Linked DNA regions of Arabidopsis thaliana. The protein of the gene in region 2 interacts with the protein of the main gene of each other region in a pairwise test. Each region holds a gene or a part of one and is shown on either strand. Other genes may lie near its edges.

Region 1 (4,177 bases), 1.9 Mb from region 2:
GTCTCAATTAATTATAGACATATATAATCTATGTTTCATCCAACGAAAACACTTCAGAAATAAATGATCAAGCTGAAATCTATAACCATCAAAAGTTTTTAGTTCTAACTTCAATCTATAAATTTGTTTATAGACATTGTTTTTAAAACACATTTTTCTCTGATTTTCAGCAGAAAATGAAATATATATTCTTGGTATTTTTTGGGTATCCGAAAATTCACAAATATTGACGTATAAATACAGGTTCCTGCTTGGTGATGAGTTTCATAGATCCAGAGATTGTAAATCGTACGTGAGTCTTCAAACATAGCACCAGACTAATTAAGTTCTTAGCTACCTTATACGGATAATGGACCTATATATTTTTTTTTTGATAATTCTCCTTGTATCTTTTGATTCATAATCAAATAATTTTGGTAATATCATTAGCAAAATTAAATGCCTTCAATTTTTGCAACGGCTATAAATTGAACGTATCCAAACCACCATGCGCATAAACCTACTGGCATTAATATGGCATCATATCTACAATGCATCCCCTCGTCAACACACTTATAATTAACCAAAACAATCACACTTAATGCTTTGACCTATATGATTTTGTTACTATATATATCTACATTATCTTAGCATAGTCACCAATAGACCAGTCAGGAGTAAGATGTTAATCATGCAAAGAAATTAACATATTAAAAGAGATAGCTAGAACCTGAATAATTGCTCACAATGCATAAGATGTAGCTTCTTCGAGACAATGTAACCATGAACGAAGTGGAAGATAATAATTTGGCATGCGAAATAATTTATTGATAATCCGTACTGAATTAATATACATATATAAAAATTGTTCAAAAACCCTAATCAAGTATTAGAAAACTCTCACACTCAATAGTAATGAGGAAAACATTTCACAAGACAACTACTTCAAGCAAAAATCTCTAGAATAATAAAACCAAAGCCTTGCATGCAAAAACCACAAACTAAAACATATCGATTATCAGGTTCTTAATTACTTACTCAATACATTAATCAGAAAAATAAACAAGATGAAATCCGTAGAATATTAGAATTTAGAAATAAATAAAAATATATGAAAAAGAAGCAATGCAAAAAAAACACGCTTGTTAAGAACAAACAAACAAACGAAAGGACAAAAAAAGAAAAATAAATCTCACAGAATATATTTGTTTGTGTATGTTTGCCTAGGAATGATGACTGGTGCTTCCATCTTCTTGATGGTTGTGATGATGATCTCCGTCACGGTTTTGCTGGTTGTTGTTATGGTTCCCCGTCTCCGCCACCGGTCGGTAAGCAGCATTCAACGCCGCTAAAACTCCATAATGGCTATGTTCTCCACCGCCACCTCCTCCTCCTCCATAACCAGAAGCCAAAGGCTGTCCAGAAAACAAAGCAATAGGAGCTGCAAAATTCATCAAATGAACTCCACTACCGCCGCCACTACCACCACTGTTGGGGTTGTAAACATCTCCGGCGACAACACCGGAATGATGAGGATTAATATTAAAAGCCCAAAGATTCTGTGTGTTGTCACCACTACTCCAAAACGGTGCCGTTGCAGGACTCTGACTCGTAGGTAAAGATCCAGCAGTTGATTGTACTAGATAGTTACCCATTTGGTTGTGATCTAAAAGCTGTGAAGAAGAAGAAGACGAAGAATGTGACTCGTTCTTGGGACGAACCTGATGCTGATGTTGAAGATGATGAGTCATGGACTGATGTGGTGAATGAAAGTAATAGCTACTAGGAGTTGTACGAAGATGAGCAGCAGAGAGAGAAGATCTTGAGCTACGAAGTGAGATGTTTAAAGAAGTGAAGTTAGCCGGAATGGTTCCAGTCCCTGTAGCGGCTATAACCGCTGGTTCTGCTTGTTGGAGTAGCCACTCAATAGTTTCACCGTCGGATTTGTGACCAAGCTCACGTGTGAGCTGAAAGACACGTGCAGCACACATGGCAGGCATACGGATCCGACGGCCTCGGCCTTCGACTTTGGTGTGTCGGTCTTTAGTAGAGGTTCGTTTAGGAGGAGGCTTCTTAGGTTCGGAGTTAGGTTCGGAAGTAGTAGAGATGATGGCTAAGGAAGTGGAAGAGGAGGAGGTAGAAGAATCAAGAAGCTGGAGAGGGAAGTTGGGTCGATGGTTATGATCCGGATCCGGATCCATGATGATGATGATGATGATGATCGAAGCTTTGGTGGTGGGGAAGTGGGACTATACTACTGTCTCTGTTAGATCTTTATGTGAGCCATAGTTTTTTTCTCTCTCTATAAATCTCTGTTTTTTTGCTGATACTTAGAGAGAGATAGAGAGGTTATAATATGGTCCTTAGGACATGAAACTCCTTTCAGATGGGAAGCTTAGCTGTGTCTATGTCTGAGAGAGAGAGAGAGATTAAAGCAATGAATATGAAAGCATGGACTTTTTTTTTCTCTTGCTGCTTTATATCTTTTGTGTTTTATTTTTGGAATTTTATTTACATTATAAACTATTCCCTTTGAGAATTTTTCGTTATTTTTGGAAATAAAAGAGATGGGCTTACGTGGTTCTCCAATCTGTACAAATATTCATTCAAATAAAATGTTTTTCCTTATTACGTACAGTGATCAAAGTGAGTGAAAATAAATGTTGTTCGTGTATTTATTGTGTTTGGATACATAGTTTTTTACAATAATACAATTACCCTATACGAACACTCTTTTTCATTCTTTACAATAATTAAAAAGTGACGTCAGTTTCTCGTCGTAACTGTTAACTTCAAGCGATCGGGAAATTAATTGCACATTTAGCGAAAATTTCAGCGATTCAGACAGAACTGAGAAGTTTACATATATTTTGTACATATGTGACAACAGAATAATAAATAGATAGAATTATTATTGACAGAATGACAGTGATTAATCCATGGCTCTATGGTAGTTCACGAGATCCACATGATATAATAGAATCCAACTGCTTTTTTTATGAAACAGATGGATTGTTTTTTCTCCTCTGTGACTCTTGAATGAGTTACCAGTTTGATATTATTATTTATAAAACCATAGTTACAGTGCTTTATAGATATATAAAAGCAAATTTGTAATGCTTCTCTTTTGTTTCCACCATTGGAGTTATCTCATTGACATACAATTGTCGTTAAAAGATGTAGCACTAAATTTAGAAAATTATTTTGATACTCTGATGTGGACAGAACATTGATCTTTTTTTTCTGAAACGAATTTTTATATGTAGTGAATAGTGATGAAGAAGGCTCCTTCTTATGTGATGATTATTCATATAAGCTGTTCAAAGAATCAAAATATACGGTGTTACATAGATTATACTACTAATTAGGACCAGCGTAATATATATATATATATATATATATATATATATATGGTAACGTTAAAAATATAATTGAATTAGAGAATACAAAAGAAAAAAATAATATAAAAGTAAATTCGAATTATTATGAAGATATTTTAAATAAATATTTTTTAAAAATCTCAAATTTGTGTTTTATAGAAATTGAGTGTAACAAAATAAATCCAAGTTATTACATAAACCAACATAAGCATGCATATAATAATTGCCAGGTAGTATATTTGAATATACATATGATTTTGTTAAAAGAAATGGAGAAAACCAATTATAAAAATTCTTACACATATTAATTTTGAGTTTAGGCAAATTCATCTTTCTTAGTATATATTGAAAATTGTAAAATATATTTGTTATAATCTTACTATTCTTTTTCAAATGTCTAAGCTTTATGAAGATAAAACTTCTCAAAAATCAAAATATAGTATTTTCTATTGTGGCTAATTATCGTCTCTTAGTTTAGACGAATCATTAACGTTACGTGTAAGGTGTAACTAGTTCTGATGATCTCTTAGGAACGTTGATTAGTCTAACTATTAGAAACTTTACGCATAGCCACATAAAACCTATGGGATGTCCAAACATTTTCGCCCAAACATATTTACAAATGACAAAATTTTATATTTTAATTACTTATATATGTGATATCTTTTTATGTTTTAACTAGAATATGTTCATTGACCATAATTTTCCCTCGTAAAATATAAATAACTAAAAGTATCGGCCTGCTTGTAGTAATTAGTAAACCAATCAAAATATCAAGAAAACTATATATCAAAGACTAAACAGAAAAGAAAACGAAT
Region 2 (4,007 bases):
ATCATAACGAATTTCGGACCAGTCTTTGGACCAAATTTACGTTTTGTTAGTTGGATGATCATTGTTCAAGACCGAACAAATCATTGTTCAAGACCGAACGAAAAAAAGTTATCGTGGGTCAGAATTCCCGTGGCCTACCAAGCCTGGTCTGATCTACTCCACTTATTGGATATTTATGAAGCTCTTTTTATTATGGACTTCGGATATTTTACAAAGTTATAACTAGTATTTTGGGAAAAACAAAATTGTAACTGGCTTGGTATTTTAACCAAAAATAGTCTACATAGTTTGTGCCATGTATTTAACAACAAAACGAAAATGCTAATACTATAATGGATAGATAGGTTAAAACGTATTTTGAACAATAGCAGACTTGTTAAAGAAAATCTTTCACACGACAATACTTGATAGAAAATCATCATTTTTTAGACATTTCTTTATTTTCGAGAATGCTTTAAGTATTTCTGTTCCTTAACTGTAAGCTTCAGCTCTCAATAAGTGACGAACAAACAATCGGATTAAATAAACTTGGATTATATTAATGGCCATCAACACAAAAACACAAGTGATGTTTCTTACAAAAGTTGCAAGCTAATGTTGAGATCGGCAGAGGAAAGGGTTATACACACTGGCTAAAACTTAAACCCCAGAAGCAAACATTGAACACTATTGATATTGATTTCATACAAATATAATGAGTTTTCGGGGGAGTTAAACAAACAAAACTACTAGGGGTGAAATTAATCTATAGAAAAAATGAACAGAGGAGCAGCTTGATATTTGTAACGATGGAGCATCAGAAGAATCTTACAAGAAGGTCTCTCAAGTTGTGCCTTCTGGGTCGGACAGGCTCGAAGTTTACCGTGAACTGAGCCAAGCTGGGTTAGTAGGCTTGGAAGACGCTTCAGCTGAACCGTCTATTTGGTATGGTGCCTTTGATGTGATCCTGTTAAAGGTTTACGAGTAGGATATTGAGAAATTCGCTTAACAAGAACTTATGGAATAACAAGATATTATGTTTTCATTAAAATGCATTACCTATCCTTCCTCTTCTCAAGGAACCGATGAAGTGAAGCTCTTCTTGCAATCGGGAGTTCTACAAATCAAAAAGAGAGAAAGTTAGAGAAATAGGACTAAGCCAAGCTCAGAGATGGTTGAACCAAAAGAGGCTGAGATCAATTACCGCAGGCTAAAGAGGCCGGGTTAGGCTGAATTGGCTCTTGTGCTGCGGTTTTTGCAGGACTACAAACAGGATTTGGGCTAGAAGCAATCTCTTTTTGAGAATAAGCACTATGGTTATTGTTTACTTCAGCTGTGAAACATGTGAAGCTTTTGGCACTTCCTTTGTTAGCCAAATCAATGACTTCTTTAGCTTTCTCAGCAGAAAAATCATCAAACACCATAACTCGACCACCGTAGAATATAGTCAACGGAGCAGATTGAGACTCTGGCTTCACAGATCTGTTCAAAATCACACAAAAATTAGTTAAACTGATGAAACATAGCTTACTATATGAGACGATTCTTTTCACTATATACATATAAACACATACTTAGTAGTCTCTTTGATCATCTGTACATCTTCTTTGGTCCCAGAGGAAGAGGAAGAAGAAAAGCTTGATTGTCTCGGAAACATAGTCTTCGGTTTAATGTCTTCTTGACCAGCAGAAGAATCCATTCCTGAAGCTTCACAAGGGAACAGATTCATCATTGTAGGCTGACGTGAACCTCCTGCGAAAATTGATCCAAAAGTAAAGATTATTATCATTCACCAATCTCTCAAACAACTGCAAAACAAAATCTACTTAATGACTAAACCAGGCCTATGGCTTTAGAGGATTATGCTTAAACCAAACACAGAACCATCTCCACAAATTCATACACATACATACATATATAGAAATTGATTCAAAATCCATTAATCATCGATTCTCTACAACGATTCAATTTCCAGACAACATGTAATCGATTCATAATTCGTAATTCGCAACAGGAAACTCAAAATTCGCAGAAACGAAATGAACAGATCTAAAAGAGAAAGGTTGATTACCATTAACGTCGGGCTTGCATGTCATCCCTAAGCTCAGATCTCCAAAACTACCCTTCTCCTTCAGGTAACGACTCAATCGAGTACATGTTTGTGAAAAGCTCGGTTTACGACCAGAGAAGTCCCAACACTCGGCAGAAAAACTCGACATCGTTGAAACCGAAATTGAAATCGTTTCGATTGAGAAATTGGAGCAAAAGGATCTTCCTTCCTGAGTTGTTGAATTTTCTCGAATCTTATAAAAAAACTTAGGGTTCTTGTTTATCTTTCTCTGCCAAGTGCGTTTTGTCACGAGGAAGAAATGGAGGACCTCTTTATTACTTTTTTTTCGCTGGTTGCAGATACGGAAATTAGTAAAATATACTCTTATAGTATTAATTAACATAGAGACATTTAAAACACGTGTTTTAATTTAATGTTTTAACGGCAGACCACTGTTTCAGATCACCACCGTCACCCACGTCCCCACGCTTCACACTTGAAATAACCATTTCACCCTCTTACTACTCCTGTTTTTACCATTTTACCCTTACAAGATGTTCAAATAAAATAAAAAATTATGAAAACGTAAAATCCTAAAATTAATTAGTTCAAACAAATCAATGTTCAGATGAAATTTGATTATGATAGTCTTTCAGTTATACCATTTAGTTGGTTCATATATCCTTTTTTTTAAGATGAATCTCTTGGCATTAATTTATGTATTTTTAGCACTATTAATTAGTCTACTATTTTAATCTCATAGACCGGCGTGATATTTTAGCACTCAAAGAGAATTAACGGTATGATTTGGGGGAAAAAAGAGGATTAACGGCGTTAGATAGAGGGAACACGGTGTGGGTCTTACATAACCAAAACTCCACCACCAATGCAAATTTGATCCATAAATCACGTTTTGTATTTTCCCTTTTATTAATTTTTTTTTAGTGTTTTATTTATGACAACAGTAATAAATAATTACAAAAAGCGGGAAGAGCACGTCTCCTCCATGAATCGCGACCTTACACGTGTCTAACTTAACTGCCCACATTTGAGAGAATTTTTCTTGTTGGTGTCGTAGTCAGAGTAATCACCTGTTACGCGGCTTATATAGCAGCTGTGTTCTCCTACGCACAATAGCCGTTGATCCTATCACTCTGTCTTTTATTCTCTTGTTATTATCCCATGCGTTTGTTAGGAACACACAAATAAGTTTGATTTTCTTTTATAACGTAACGTCCAACTTGTTATTTTATTGACTTGGATTGTAGTAATTGCTAACTCATTACAGGTACATCGAGATAACGTAAGGTTCATAGAGTGGCTCGTGAGAAAATAAGGATGATTGGTTAATTTGGTTTTTAACTGTTTTATAAACATCTTCACAAAATTTTATACATCACAAACATATCCATAAGAAACAAAATCAGAAGAAGCTGCAGGTACATACAATTACAAGGAAGAGGGGTCACAAGAAGAACCCAGAGCGCATAAAGACATCAAAGTCTGGATATTATTTAGAGTATGCAACCAAAAAGAAGAAGGCAAGTGGGGTGGTCACAAAAATGCAAGATAGAGGTCACAAGAAGAATAGAAGAACATAAGCTAATTAAGGAATAGTACTCTATATTCCTGTTTTTACTGTAGAAACTTTATCTACTTATGGCTCTCTTATACAAGGCTGATTGATACCCTTTTAGCCATGTTTTTATACTTGCTCTTGGTTTTCACAGCTGATTCATTCCTCTTCTTTCTTTCACATATTTAACAGAAAATAAGCTTACATATGAAAGTGGTAAAACATTGGGCCCTTGGAATATATTTTTTTAGTTTTTACCTTTCAAAAGATGATTTAGTTACTCTCTATATATGTAATTAACAAAGGGAAAACTGTCAAGAGCTACTAAATTTAAAATTGAGAATTGATTTGGCATTTTTTGAGATTTCATGTTAAACAATAGAAATGTAAAGACTACAAAGA
Region 3 (4,390 bases), 8.3 Mb from region 2:
TTAAAGTAGACAGTTATTTGACACTAGACATCAAATTCTCTTTTGCTCCTTTTTCATAAAATCTTGAAATCTAGTATTGAGGAAGATTCTATGAAAAGAAGTCAAAAACCATTTCTCTGATATTTATATAGGGATCCGTGGATCATGGGCCAAAACTCTTACTAAGTATCAGAGCTTGCATCCACTAAACAAATTTTAAAAGAAACCCATAATTCTAAACTCTAAACTCCAAAAGAAGCAACACATGCAAACCCTGTCTATGGAAAGTGACTCTTCATCTATGGGGCCAAAAGAAGAGACTAAGAAACACAAGAGAAATGATTGTTTCAAATTCCATTTGCTAGTCAAAAGAAAGTTTATAACCACAGAGATTGGGAAGATAATACTTCTAATAAACGCTAAACCAAACAATATGATGATTGATGTAGATGGATAGAGCACTGTTCCTCTTTGGGATTGGCAAACAAAATGAGATATTTCTTGGGGAAAGCATTAAACCCACATGGAATAAAGGGCAAACAAAAGACTTTAGCTTCAAGTGGGGTTAAAGGTTTCCAACACAAGAACATAAATAAAGGACAAGTAATTGTAGAACAAGTTACAACAAACAAGATGTGAGCTCATGTAGCTAGAGCTAAACATTGTAAAACAGAATTGAACTTACAGAACGTTCTCTAATTGATACAAGATGAATTCAAATTAACCAAGGCCTAGGCTTTTAAAGACTTAAGAAGAACCTGAAACTGTTGATCAGATTTATAGGCCATTTGGATATTCGAAACACACAACAACGAAAACCGCCTTCACTATTCCACGCATTCGAAGCGCCCTGAAACGTTAAAAACAATGTAAGTTATCAATTTGATGAATGGTTAAAAGACAAGACTTTCACAAATGGGTGTTGTTTTCGAAAAACTTCAAACCTGGAATATGAAAAGAAACCTGTTGTGTTGCACAATCTTATGTGTTTTTGGAACTTGTTTAATGGCGAGAATCGGATGAAGCAGAGGACGGCTTGTTGTCGCCGCCGTGCTCCTCTTGTTCGCCTTGAAACCGTGCTGGTATACGAAAACCGGAGAATTCACCACTTGAAGCAAATGCAATGCCTGGAATAGCAGATTGGTGAATCCCGGGAGGGATATGGTAGGGATGATGATGGTGGAGATCGTCAGTGGTCATGGACTGCTGATGATGATGATGATGATGGTGAGGATCAAACCAAGCACGAATCATAGGTGTGTTAATGGACTGAAGGGGACCCCTCTGTGATAAAAGCTGACTTTGGCTATAAACTGGATGCAACGACGACGGAGAAGCAAACACAAATCCTCCGGTACTTCCGGCGGATTCAGCTGCTCCGACGTTGTTCCATGACACTAGTCTCTGTATCTTTCCAAATTCCGGTGACTGATGACTCTGTTCCCAGCTTGCCGTCGATGAGTCAAACGCTAACTGATTATTGCTCTGGCCGGAGAACAGAGCAGGTTCTGTTTGATTAGGAAAAGGTGGACCATTTTGGAAAGATTGAAGCGAGAGACGAAGAAGATCTTGGTTCTGTGTATTGCCTCGTGACGGTGGCTGATGATGATAGCTCTGTTGCGTTGAAGCTACCGGAAAAAACGACTTTATAGTGTCAGCTATCGAATCAGAATCCATTGACGCCGGAAGAAAACTCGATTCGTTATCTTCTTCTTCTCCGATTCGATGATGCTCTGTTTCTTCCGGTTGTGGCGGTGGCGGAGAAATTAAAGTTTTGGTTTTTCTGGGTTTAGCGTTAGCAGCAGCGGCGGCGTGTTGACGAAGAGTATCGGCGGGGTTCCAAGGAGGAAGCTGAGCAAGATCATCAATGGCGGATTTAGCTTTAGTAATAAGCCAATCAACAGCTTTACTTGGTCGATCAAAACCAAGTCTATCTTGAACATCGTAGAATTGAATCGCCGTCGGAGCTGAGAGTCTCACGCGCCGGTCACGTGGTCCTTTCGCTGTACATACTTTACTATGTCTGTCTTTTCTTCCTGTTGACCGAACAATGTGACCTCCTTGTACCTCCACAATCTCGCCGCAACCACCACCGTTCTCCGTCGCTGATTGGTGGTGTCTCATCTCTAGAAGAGGCGGCGACGGAGAATCTAAGAAATGGTCGTTATCTGGTGCCATTGATGAAGCATATTGTGGAAATTCAAGGTCGTTGATGGTGGTGGTGGTTGGATTATGACGGCGGCGGCGACGGCGGTCGTTAACCGCCGAGGAATCCAGAGTCGTTCGATTTATTTAATTCAACATTTTGCCTCTCCTCCAAATCCCAAACCCTAAACACGCCAACAAATCAAAGATGAAGAAGAAGAAGAAGAAGAAGACGTAATTGAATTTTGCAGACTAACCCATGACTAAATTTCTCTTCTTTTGTCTAAAGATTGTTTCTTTTTTAGAATTTGTCTCTGTTTCTGAGAATTCAAGAAGCAAAAACAGAGGAAGCAAGAAGAGAGAGAAGAGATAGAGAGATGTGGAATTGACTAAACGAGAATCCAGGAAAGCTCTTTTTAATTTTTTGTTTCTGGCCGGAAAATTTACAGTAACGGTAAAAAAAGGAAGAGATTTTGGGGTTTGGGGAAGAGAGGGAAATGGTAATGGAAGGAGTGTGTTTGGTCATAAAAAGAGCTCTCTGATACTCATCATCATCACTTGTGCTTTTATTTCATTTTTAAAGTGTTTTCTTATTTTATATTATATATTTTATGGTTTTTCTAAATGAAAAACAAAAAGCTTTTGTCCGATTCATCATGTGGAAATATTTTACATGACATTTCGAATTGTATTAGCTATATACATTACAATGGATATATTTTGGTAGAGGTTACTGTAAGAATATCAACACATATACATAGTCCTCTTAGGTTTGGTTCTGACTACCACTATTTTTTTTTGTTAAAGATGATAGAAACTATAAGCACTAATAAACCCAAATTTTACCAAGTCAAAGATTGTTCTGTACTGTGTTAGAAAATATTAATACAGAACTTTTGAGGTAGTAAAGGTTTTGGGTTGTTGGAAAAAAAGACAATACAAGAAGATTTCTTTTATAATAAAAACTAAAAAGTAAAGCTTTTAGATCTGTTGGAGAGTTGGAGACACTAATAATTGGGCGGTATAAACTAATATTGATGGTATTATTTTAAACAAATAAAGTATTATTTTCATCGAATCAAATTGTATTGGTTTTAGAGGTTACACCCTGTAAAATGCATCACCAGTATCCGTAGGATTCGACAGTATCCCTATAATCAACCATTGTCTATGCTCCTTTCCACTATCTGTTCTCGAACTCCACTGTTCGTCAATCCCACTTTTAATTAACCAAACGTAGTAAAGTTTCAGATGGAAAACGAAAATAATAGAGATACATACTTGTACATAGTTTTAGTTTAAAATTAACTTGAATTTCCTTTAAACAAAGATAAAAATGTGTATATATACGTAATTTGGTAACTCAATCAGTTTTTTTTTTCTTTTTTGTTAACAAGGAAATCCCGAGCATTTGACATACTAATACAAGTATGGTATGTGATTAAATATGAACATTTTAGGTGTGATTCATGTAGAGATTTCAAGAGAGATATAAGAAGAAATATGTGATTGTAGATAGGAGATTTATGTTTTTTGTAAGTGCGTTTCCTACTCATCGAGCCAATCTGCATTGAATCCATAATTTTTTCTTTTACCTTCCCAAGAGAAGAAATTATCAAAACATCGTTCTACGACATGCAACATCAAATTTAAAGGCACGAAATATCGCACGGTTCACTGGTTTAGGACACAATCAATTATTGTTTTCCATTTTTTTGTCATTACCACAAATTCTCTTTCTAACTACTTCTCCATTATACACACCGACCATGCATGTACTGTATTTTTAATTAAATACCCGTAGTCATACGAACTTTTCTGATATATAATGTATTTGGTACCATATTCTTGATCATCAAATAATGACAATGCACACATAAAAAGATGACGTATCGATATGTAAGGCAAAGATGGAATCAAATTTCAAATAAATGTTTCCCATTGCACCTACTCAACCAAGTGTAGTCTAAATAAATTTACGAATATACCCTATAGGCTTTTAGTGTTTTTCGATCGCATGTGTGTCAGTAAGTACACTCCCCATCACCCTCATAGTCATTTCCTCTTATCTCTCTCTCTTAAGTTATTTTCCCCAATATTTATTCCTTTCATTTATTTTTGTCAACTTGTTTTTCCGATAAAGAAATAAACACAATTTTTTCTGTCAATTTCCTAGTTTTATTTCGTTTATTTCCATTGTCTTATTTTTTTCCGTAATAAAAGAAATTAAAGCACTGTGAAAAGTTATAAATTCATTCTTCCATTC
Region 4 (6,349 bases), on a different chromosome or scaffold from region 2:
TGAGGACGTTGTTCTCTACATTCCAAGACTTGGAAATTATAACTAAGGAACAACATAGTTTTAAGGGATAAATTTGTAAGAACTCTGGAAATTTATAAGAACAAAAATACATTGCCTTACCGTTTTCCAGACAAGATGGATTCGTAAGCTTCAAGTGCATTAAATTTTGCGAGGTTTCGTTCGACAATATGCAACAGATCCCTCTTTACTTCCACCAATTGTTGCACAGTGTCAAATGATACTTTGAGATATTTTTTTTGCAGGCCAGATAGATGATTTTTCTGCTCATGAACATAAGAAATCAAGAAACTCAAATTGGTATGGTAGGTCAAAGAAAAGGTCAGCAAAAGTGACAACCAAACAAGAGGTACTGAAAACGTTCATATCTTGCATAATGTTGCCACTAAAGAAGAAGCATTAAACACTTAAACATTTACTAGCAAACGTTTTTTGAGTTACAAGAACGTTTTTGGCAGGCTAGATAGATGATTTGAGCACATGGAAGCAAGATCAGTTTTGGACTTATTACTAGAGCTGCTCAATTTGAAGTTGCAAGAAGAGGAAAATAACTAAAAGTTGTAGCAAATGTAATTGACATGAGTCCTCTATATAGAGAGAAAGAAACGAGTAATCAACAGGTAGTTGCAAACTGCGTAAAAGGAGTTATGCTTTAGTGACTTACAAGATAAAGATCTTCTTTGTGAACAATCTGAATATCAGCAACTTGTCTTTCATATCGGCGTCTCAAGTAGGCTTCAACTTCCAGTTCCATATTGTCCTGTAAAAAGGGCATTGCAGTTTAGTTGACATATAGGAAGAAAACACTCGAGTACAGAGAGAACATATATACTTTGGTGGCGGCATACAAGTAAGGGCGGAACTTGTACTTAGTCTTAAAAGAAGAGCCGTCCTGAAAGAAACAAAAAGGGTTGAGCAACTGATACGAAGAAAGAAGCTAATATAGTAGCAATGACCACAGCTGACCTGAGTGACAAAGAAAAGGTCCACACAACTAAAGGTTTTCCCAGTATCGGCATCTTCCCAAGATGACTGCCAACAACGTAGTATAATAACCAATCAGTGAGTGTACTTAGAAGTTTTCAGTATTCAGAGAACTAACTACTAGGGAAGTCACAAAACGTGACTTACTGATGCAAACGTGAGTAGCCACCCGAGCCGCGTTTCCCCTTGGGAGAAAAGCCCAAATCCAAGTTTAGTTTCGAGTTCATCTGCCGCTGAAACTTTCTGCACATTCAACCTCCGATCACATCTCCTTCCGCTCATATTTGGCCCACGCCGATGATGCTAAGAGACTCTTGTATTGATTGCTTGTGTTGCGTATTAAATAAATTAGGGTTCAAAACAAAGGGATTCGTGATTGACACTGGTACGGTGAAGAGATGGAACCAGATCAAATAAGAGAAGAGAGAATCATCTAGAACCTGAGATTCTTATGACGACAATACAAGGAAATGAAGTTGTCATCCGAAAATGAATTAGGGCTCAACTAAAAAAGACAGATGAAGAAGATGAAATGCTTTCGCGCGCGTTGTCTCTTGTATCAAGGGCTTTCCTGGTTGTTGGGTTCGGTTCAAATGAGGCCTCACTTTTTATGAGGGCTTTCTGTTGTTGGGTTTAGATTAAAACGAGGTCTCGCTATTTAAATTGAAAAAAAAAAACCAACAAAAGCACGAAACGACGTCGGTTTCGTGCTTGAATCTCTTCTTCCTCGCGAACGACTGAGAAGAAGCAGGAGTTTAATTTCCTCCGGTCGAATCTGAAAACGAAATAGCTGCCATAGCTTCTTCTCAATTTTCCCCAATTGTTGTTGCCCTTCTCCCTAATTTCACGACTTTCGATTCTTCTGAGTTCTGAGTTCTTCGCATCACTGACTGACGTAAGCTCCTCTTTCTCTCTTTTGCTTTCTCCTCTTTCTGGGTTTCTCTCTCTCTCAACAAACAATCGGAGAGTGAGAGATGCAAAAAGTCCTCATATTTATATGTTCGGAAGAAGATCTCCAAACACTAATAGTACTTTTTTGTAGACTATGAAGATGAGAAACATTTGTGTGAAATTAGAACTTCTCTACTAAGTGAAGGTTATGGATGTTCATTTGGTGGAAGAGAATGTGTCAATGGGGAATCATGAGATAGGAGATGAAGGAGATGTTGAACCTAGTGATTGCAGTGGACAGAACAACATGGATAACTCGTTAGGGGTGCAAGATGAGATTGGAATTGCAGAGCCATGTGTTGGTATGGAGTTTAATTCAGAAAAAGAAGCTAAATCTTTCTATGATGAGTACTCGAGGCAGCTTGGTTTTACTTCTAAGCTTCTTCCTAGAACTGATGGGTCTGTTAGTGTTCGAGAATTTGTGTGTAGTAGTAGTAGTAAAAGGTCAAAGAGAAGGCTTTCTGAGAGTTGTGATGCAATGGTTAGGATAGAGTTGCAAGGTCATGAGAAATGGGTTGTTACAAAGTTTGTTAAAGAGCATACTCATGGATTAGCAAGTTCTAATATGCTTCATTGTCTTCGTCCTCGTAGGCATTTTGCTAACTCGGAGAAATCTAGTTATCAAGAAGGGGTTAATGTGCCTAGTGGTATGATGTATGTTTCTATGGATGCTAATAGCAGAGGAGCTAGAAATGCGTCTATGGCTACAAACACGAAGAGAACGATTGGACGGGATGCACATAATCTGTTGGAGTATTTTAAGAGGATGCAGGCAGAGAATCCTGGCTTTTTCTATGCGGTTCAGCTTGATGAAGATAATCAGATGTCAAATGTGTTTTGGGCTGATTCGAGATCTAGGGTTGCTTATACTCATTTTGGTGACACGGTTACCTTAGATACGAGGTACAGGTGCAATCAGTTTCGTGTTCCTTTTGCGCCATTTACTGGTGTGAATCATCATGGTCAGGCTATCTTATTTGGCTGTGCACTTATTTTGGACGAGTCAGACACTTCATTTATCTGGCTGTTCAAGACTTTTCTAACAGCAATGAGAGATCAACCGCCGGTTTCTTTGGTGACTGATCAAGATAGAGCCATACAGATTGCTGCTGGTCAGGTATTTCCAGGTGCTCGTCACTGTATTAATAAGTGGGATGTGCTAAGAGAAGGTCAGGAAAAGCTGGCTCATGTGTGTCTTGCGTATCCTAGTTTTCAGGTGGAGCTATATAATTGTATCAACTTTACTGAAACGATTGAGGAGTTTGAATCGTCCTGGAGTTCTGTCATTGACAAATATGACTTAGGAAGACATGAATGGCTTAATTCTTTATATAATGCTCGAGCTCAGTGGGTACCTGTTTATTTCCGGGATTCGTTTTTTGCTGCAGTGTTTCCTAGCCAAGGTTATTCGGGTTCCTTTTTCGATGGATATGTGAATCAGCAGACAACCCTTCCGATGTTCTTTAGGCTGTACGAAAGGGCTATGGAGAGCTGGTTCGAGATGGAGATTGAAGCAGATCTTGACACTGTCAACACACCTCCAGTCTTGAAGACGCCATCACCCATGGAGAATCAGGCTGCAAATCTCTTTACAAGGAAAATATTTGGAAAGTTCCAGGAAGAGTTGGTAGAGACATTCGCTCACACGGCAAACAGAATTGAAGATGATGGTACTACCAGCACATTTAGGGTTGCAAATTTTGAAAATGACAACAAAGCTTATATAGTAACGTTTTGCTACCCTGAAATGAGAGCAAACTGCAGCTGTCAAATGTTTGAGCACTCCGGCATACTCTGCCGACATGTTTTGACGGTGTTTACTGTCACTAATATACTCACTTTGCCACCACATTATATTTTGAGACGGTGGACAAGAAATGCCAAGAGCATGGTAGAGTTAGATGAGCATGTCAGTGAAAATGGGCATGATAGCTCGATACACCGCTATAATCATTTATGTCGCGAAGCCATCAAGTATGCTGAGGAAGGGGCAATTACAGCTGAAGCTTATAATATTGCTTTAGGGCAACTCAGAGAAGGTGGAAAGAAGGTTTCAGTTGTCAGGAAAAGGATAGGTAGAGCTGCGCCTCCTAGCTCACATGGTGGTGGAATTGGTAGTGGTGACAAGACCTCTCTATCAGCTGCTGACACAACCCCTTTGCTGTGGCCGCGCCAGGATGAAATGATACGCAGATTTAACCTTAACGATGGTGGGGCCAGAGCTCAATCTGTTTCTGATCTGAATCTGCCGCGTATGGCACCAGTGTCACTTCACCGAGATGATACTGCTCCTGAGAATATGGTACCCAGAGGAAACCTTTCACAGACTTATTTCTTTGATTCTATTGGTGTTGGTCAGTAACTTGATTTACTTTGTCTTACAGGTGGCTCTTCCTTGTCTTAAGTCATTGACTTGGGGGATGGAGAGTAAAAATACAATGCCGGGTGGTAGAGTTGCAGTTATCAATTTAAAGGTGTGCATTATATGAACCAGTAAATCTTTTCTGTAGGGTTTTGCAGTAACTTTTACTGAAAGTTGGTCTGATGGGATGCTTTATCTAAAAGAGATTAGATTTGTAAGAATAATGATCTTGAAGATTTGAACAATTGACATTCGCCTTTTCGGAAAAGTTACTGGCTATAGTGTAGGAAAATCAAAGTTGTTGCCATTAATAGTCTTGCTCGTTCCTGCAAAATAGTAGTTGACCGCTTTACTGAGGATTATTTTTCATGATGTTTTCAGTTGCACGATTACAGAAAGTTTCCCTCAGCAGACATGGATGTCAAATTTCAGCTGTCTAGCGTCACACTTGAACCCATGTTAAGGTCCATGGCTTACATTAGCGAGCAACTTTCATCTCCAGCCAATAGAGTAGCTGTCATCAATTTGAAGGTATGTCTTTTAGACTCTAGGCTCGTAGCTTCTCATGTAGTCTTCTTGACTTGACTAAACTCCTTTTAATTTATTGATTGTCTTTGGTTTGTTCTAACATAGATTCCATCTACCGTTAGTGTGTGAAACTTCTGTGTTGTTTGACTTGTTTAAGCTGATTCTCTCATTCATGTTAACTTGCCATACGTTTTGCAGTTATTTATACTAGCGTCACTACTTGAATATGAAATTTCATGTTTGATTACCAAAATCAATGTTTTACTCCATATTAGGGACTCTTAATTGAACTAGAAGGTTTCAACAGTGTGAAAAAATCTTCTTTTGTTTTCCTTACTCCAGCTTCAAGATACCGAGACAACAACAGGAGAATCAGAGGTCAAGTTTCAGGTGTCCCGAGATACACTAGGTGCCATGTTGAGATCAATGGCCTATATCCGTGAGCAGCTCTCAATCGTTGTAGGCACACTCCCTTTTTCTTTTTCTTTTTCCAAGTAGTAGTTATTAAATAATTACAAGGCCAATGATAGTTGAATTAGTAATAGTAACAGCAATCAATTAGGTTCATATCGACCTATAATTGTTCCTGAACTATTACTTGGTCTATGTATTGTCTTATAGAGTATCTAAACGGTATCTTGCATTTGCAGGGAGAGCTACAAACAGAATCTCAAGCAAAGAAGCAACGCAAATGATGTTGAGAGAGAGAAACAACCTCTGGAAAAGAAAACTTTGGAAAATGGTTGTTAACCTCATTAGAGCTCGTCTGTGATTAGTGTTGTTAGATTTACGATACAATGCCTTATGTGTAATTGTAACATGTGTAAGTGTCACGTCATCTACGCAAGTGTGTAGAATCTGGTAGGCATTGAGCCAGGCTTTGAAGTGTATATATCCTTCTTATTTACATTGAACCCTAAAAACCTGGATTCTTGTGGATAGTCATTCGTTTGACTGCAGATTATATTTAATGGCCATGGAGATTTAAGACTGCCATGGAGACTTAAGTATTGATAACAAACAATGTGGATAAAACGCATTATTCAATACAAGAAATTCTCATGCTATTTATGTAATCATCGTCGAACAGAATTAGTAAGAAAGCACATGAAAAATTTTGAAAAACAATAAGGAAATGTATGGAGTGCGTATTTTACGCTTTAGTGAGTGAAAATTGGGAGGAACAAGACATAATACATCAAAAGGGTAAGAAAATGCCACAATCTGCTAGCTTTGCCTTCTAATACTGATGCCCTTTAACCCAACCCGAACCAGTAAACTCGGGATCTCTCTAGCCCTGTCTTGTCTACAAGCTCCTGTAATCAATAACGGTCACTTCTTCCTCTGGAGCATCTAGGTCTTGGTAGCTGCACCAAATTTCTCATACATTAGTACCTTAGAGACACTGCACTCTTGATCATAGGGTAATGGACTCATAGCACAGAGTGAACTACGTTACCTGCGCAGCCGTCTAGGATCTTGTCTAAAGGCCGGAGACAACAGAAA

The links.
Region 1: the proteins of TIFY10B (region 2) and TCP15 interact in binary tests that used the Arabidopsis thaliana proteins (3 or more experiments, as listed by UniProt).
Region 3: the proteins of TIFY10B (region 2) and TCP3 interact in binary tests that used the Arabidopsis thaliana proteins (3 or more experiments, as listed by UniProt).
Region 4: the proteins of TIFY10B (region 2) and FRS3 interact in binary tests that used the Arabidopsis thaliana proteins (3 or more experiments, as listed by UniProt).

Annotation. Positions count from the first base shown.
Region 1 is NC_003070.9:26,214,452-26,218,628, reverse strand, and holds TCP15 (TCP family transcription factor), read right to left. Parts: upstream 2,621-4,177; 5' UTR 2,181-2,620; coding exon 1,203-2,180; 3' UTR 558-1,202; downstream 1-557. UniProt on the Arabidopsis thaliana protein: Transcription factor involved the regulation of plant development. Together with TCP14, modulates plant stature by promoting cell division in young internodes. Represses cell proliferation in developing leaf blade and specific floral tissues.
Region 2 is NC_003070.9:28,148,061-28,152,067, forward strand, and holds TIFY10B (TIFY domain/Divergent CCT motif family protein), read right to left. Parts: upstream 2,387-4,007; 5' UTR 2,199-2,386; coding exon 2,051-2,198; intron 1,732-2,050; coding exon 1,554-1,731; intron 1,462-1,553; coding exon 1,184-1,461; intron 1,097-1,183; coding exon 1,039-1,096; coding exon of another isoform or gene 1,035-1,038; exon of another isoform or gene 947-1,034; coding exon 859-946; 3' UTR 515-858; downstream 1-514. UniProt on the Arabidopsis thaliana protein: Repressor of jasmonate responses. Jasmonoyl-isoleucine (JA-Ile) specifically promotes COI1-TIFY10B/JAZ2 interaction. Activated by MYC2, MYC3 and MYC4 transcription factors.
Region 3 is NC_003070.9:19,849,279-19,853,668, forward strand, and holds TCP3 (TEOSINTE BRANCHED 1, cycloidea and PCF transcription factor 3), read right to left. Parts: upstream 2,448-4,390; 5' UTR 2,158-2,447; coding exon 982-2,157; 3' UTR 924-981; exon of another isoform or gene 923-923; intron 830-922; 3' UTR 510-829; downstream 1-509. UniProt on the Arabidopsis thaliana protein: Plays a pivotal role in the control of morphogenesis of shoot organs by negatively regulating the expression of boundary-specific genes such as CUC genes, probably through the induction of miRNA (e.g. miR164). Participates in ovule development.
Region 4 is NC_003071.7:11,576,158-11,582,506, reverse strand, and holds FRS3 (FAR1-related sequence 3), read left to right. Parts: upstream 1-1,689; 5' UTR 1,690-2,101; coding exon 2,102-4,255; intron 4,256-4,337; coding exon 4,338-4,427; intron 4,428-4,696; coding exon 4,697-4,846; intron 4,847-5,185; coding exon 5,186-5,302; intron 5,303-5,493; coding exon 5,494-5,538; 3' UTR 5,539-5,839; downstream 5,840-6,349. Other genes in the region: TIL2 (DNA polymerase epsilon catalytic subunit), read right to left, coding at 1-15, 121-281, 683-778, 851-910, 985-1,050, 1,150-1,284; SE (C2H2 zinc-finger protein SERRATE (SE)), read right to left, coding at 6,150-6,210, 6,303-6,349.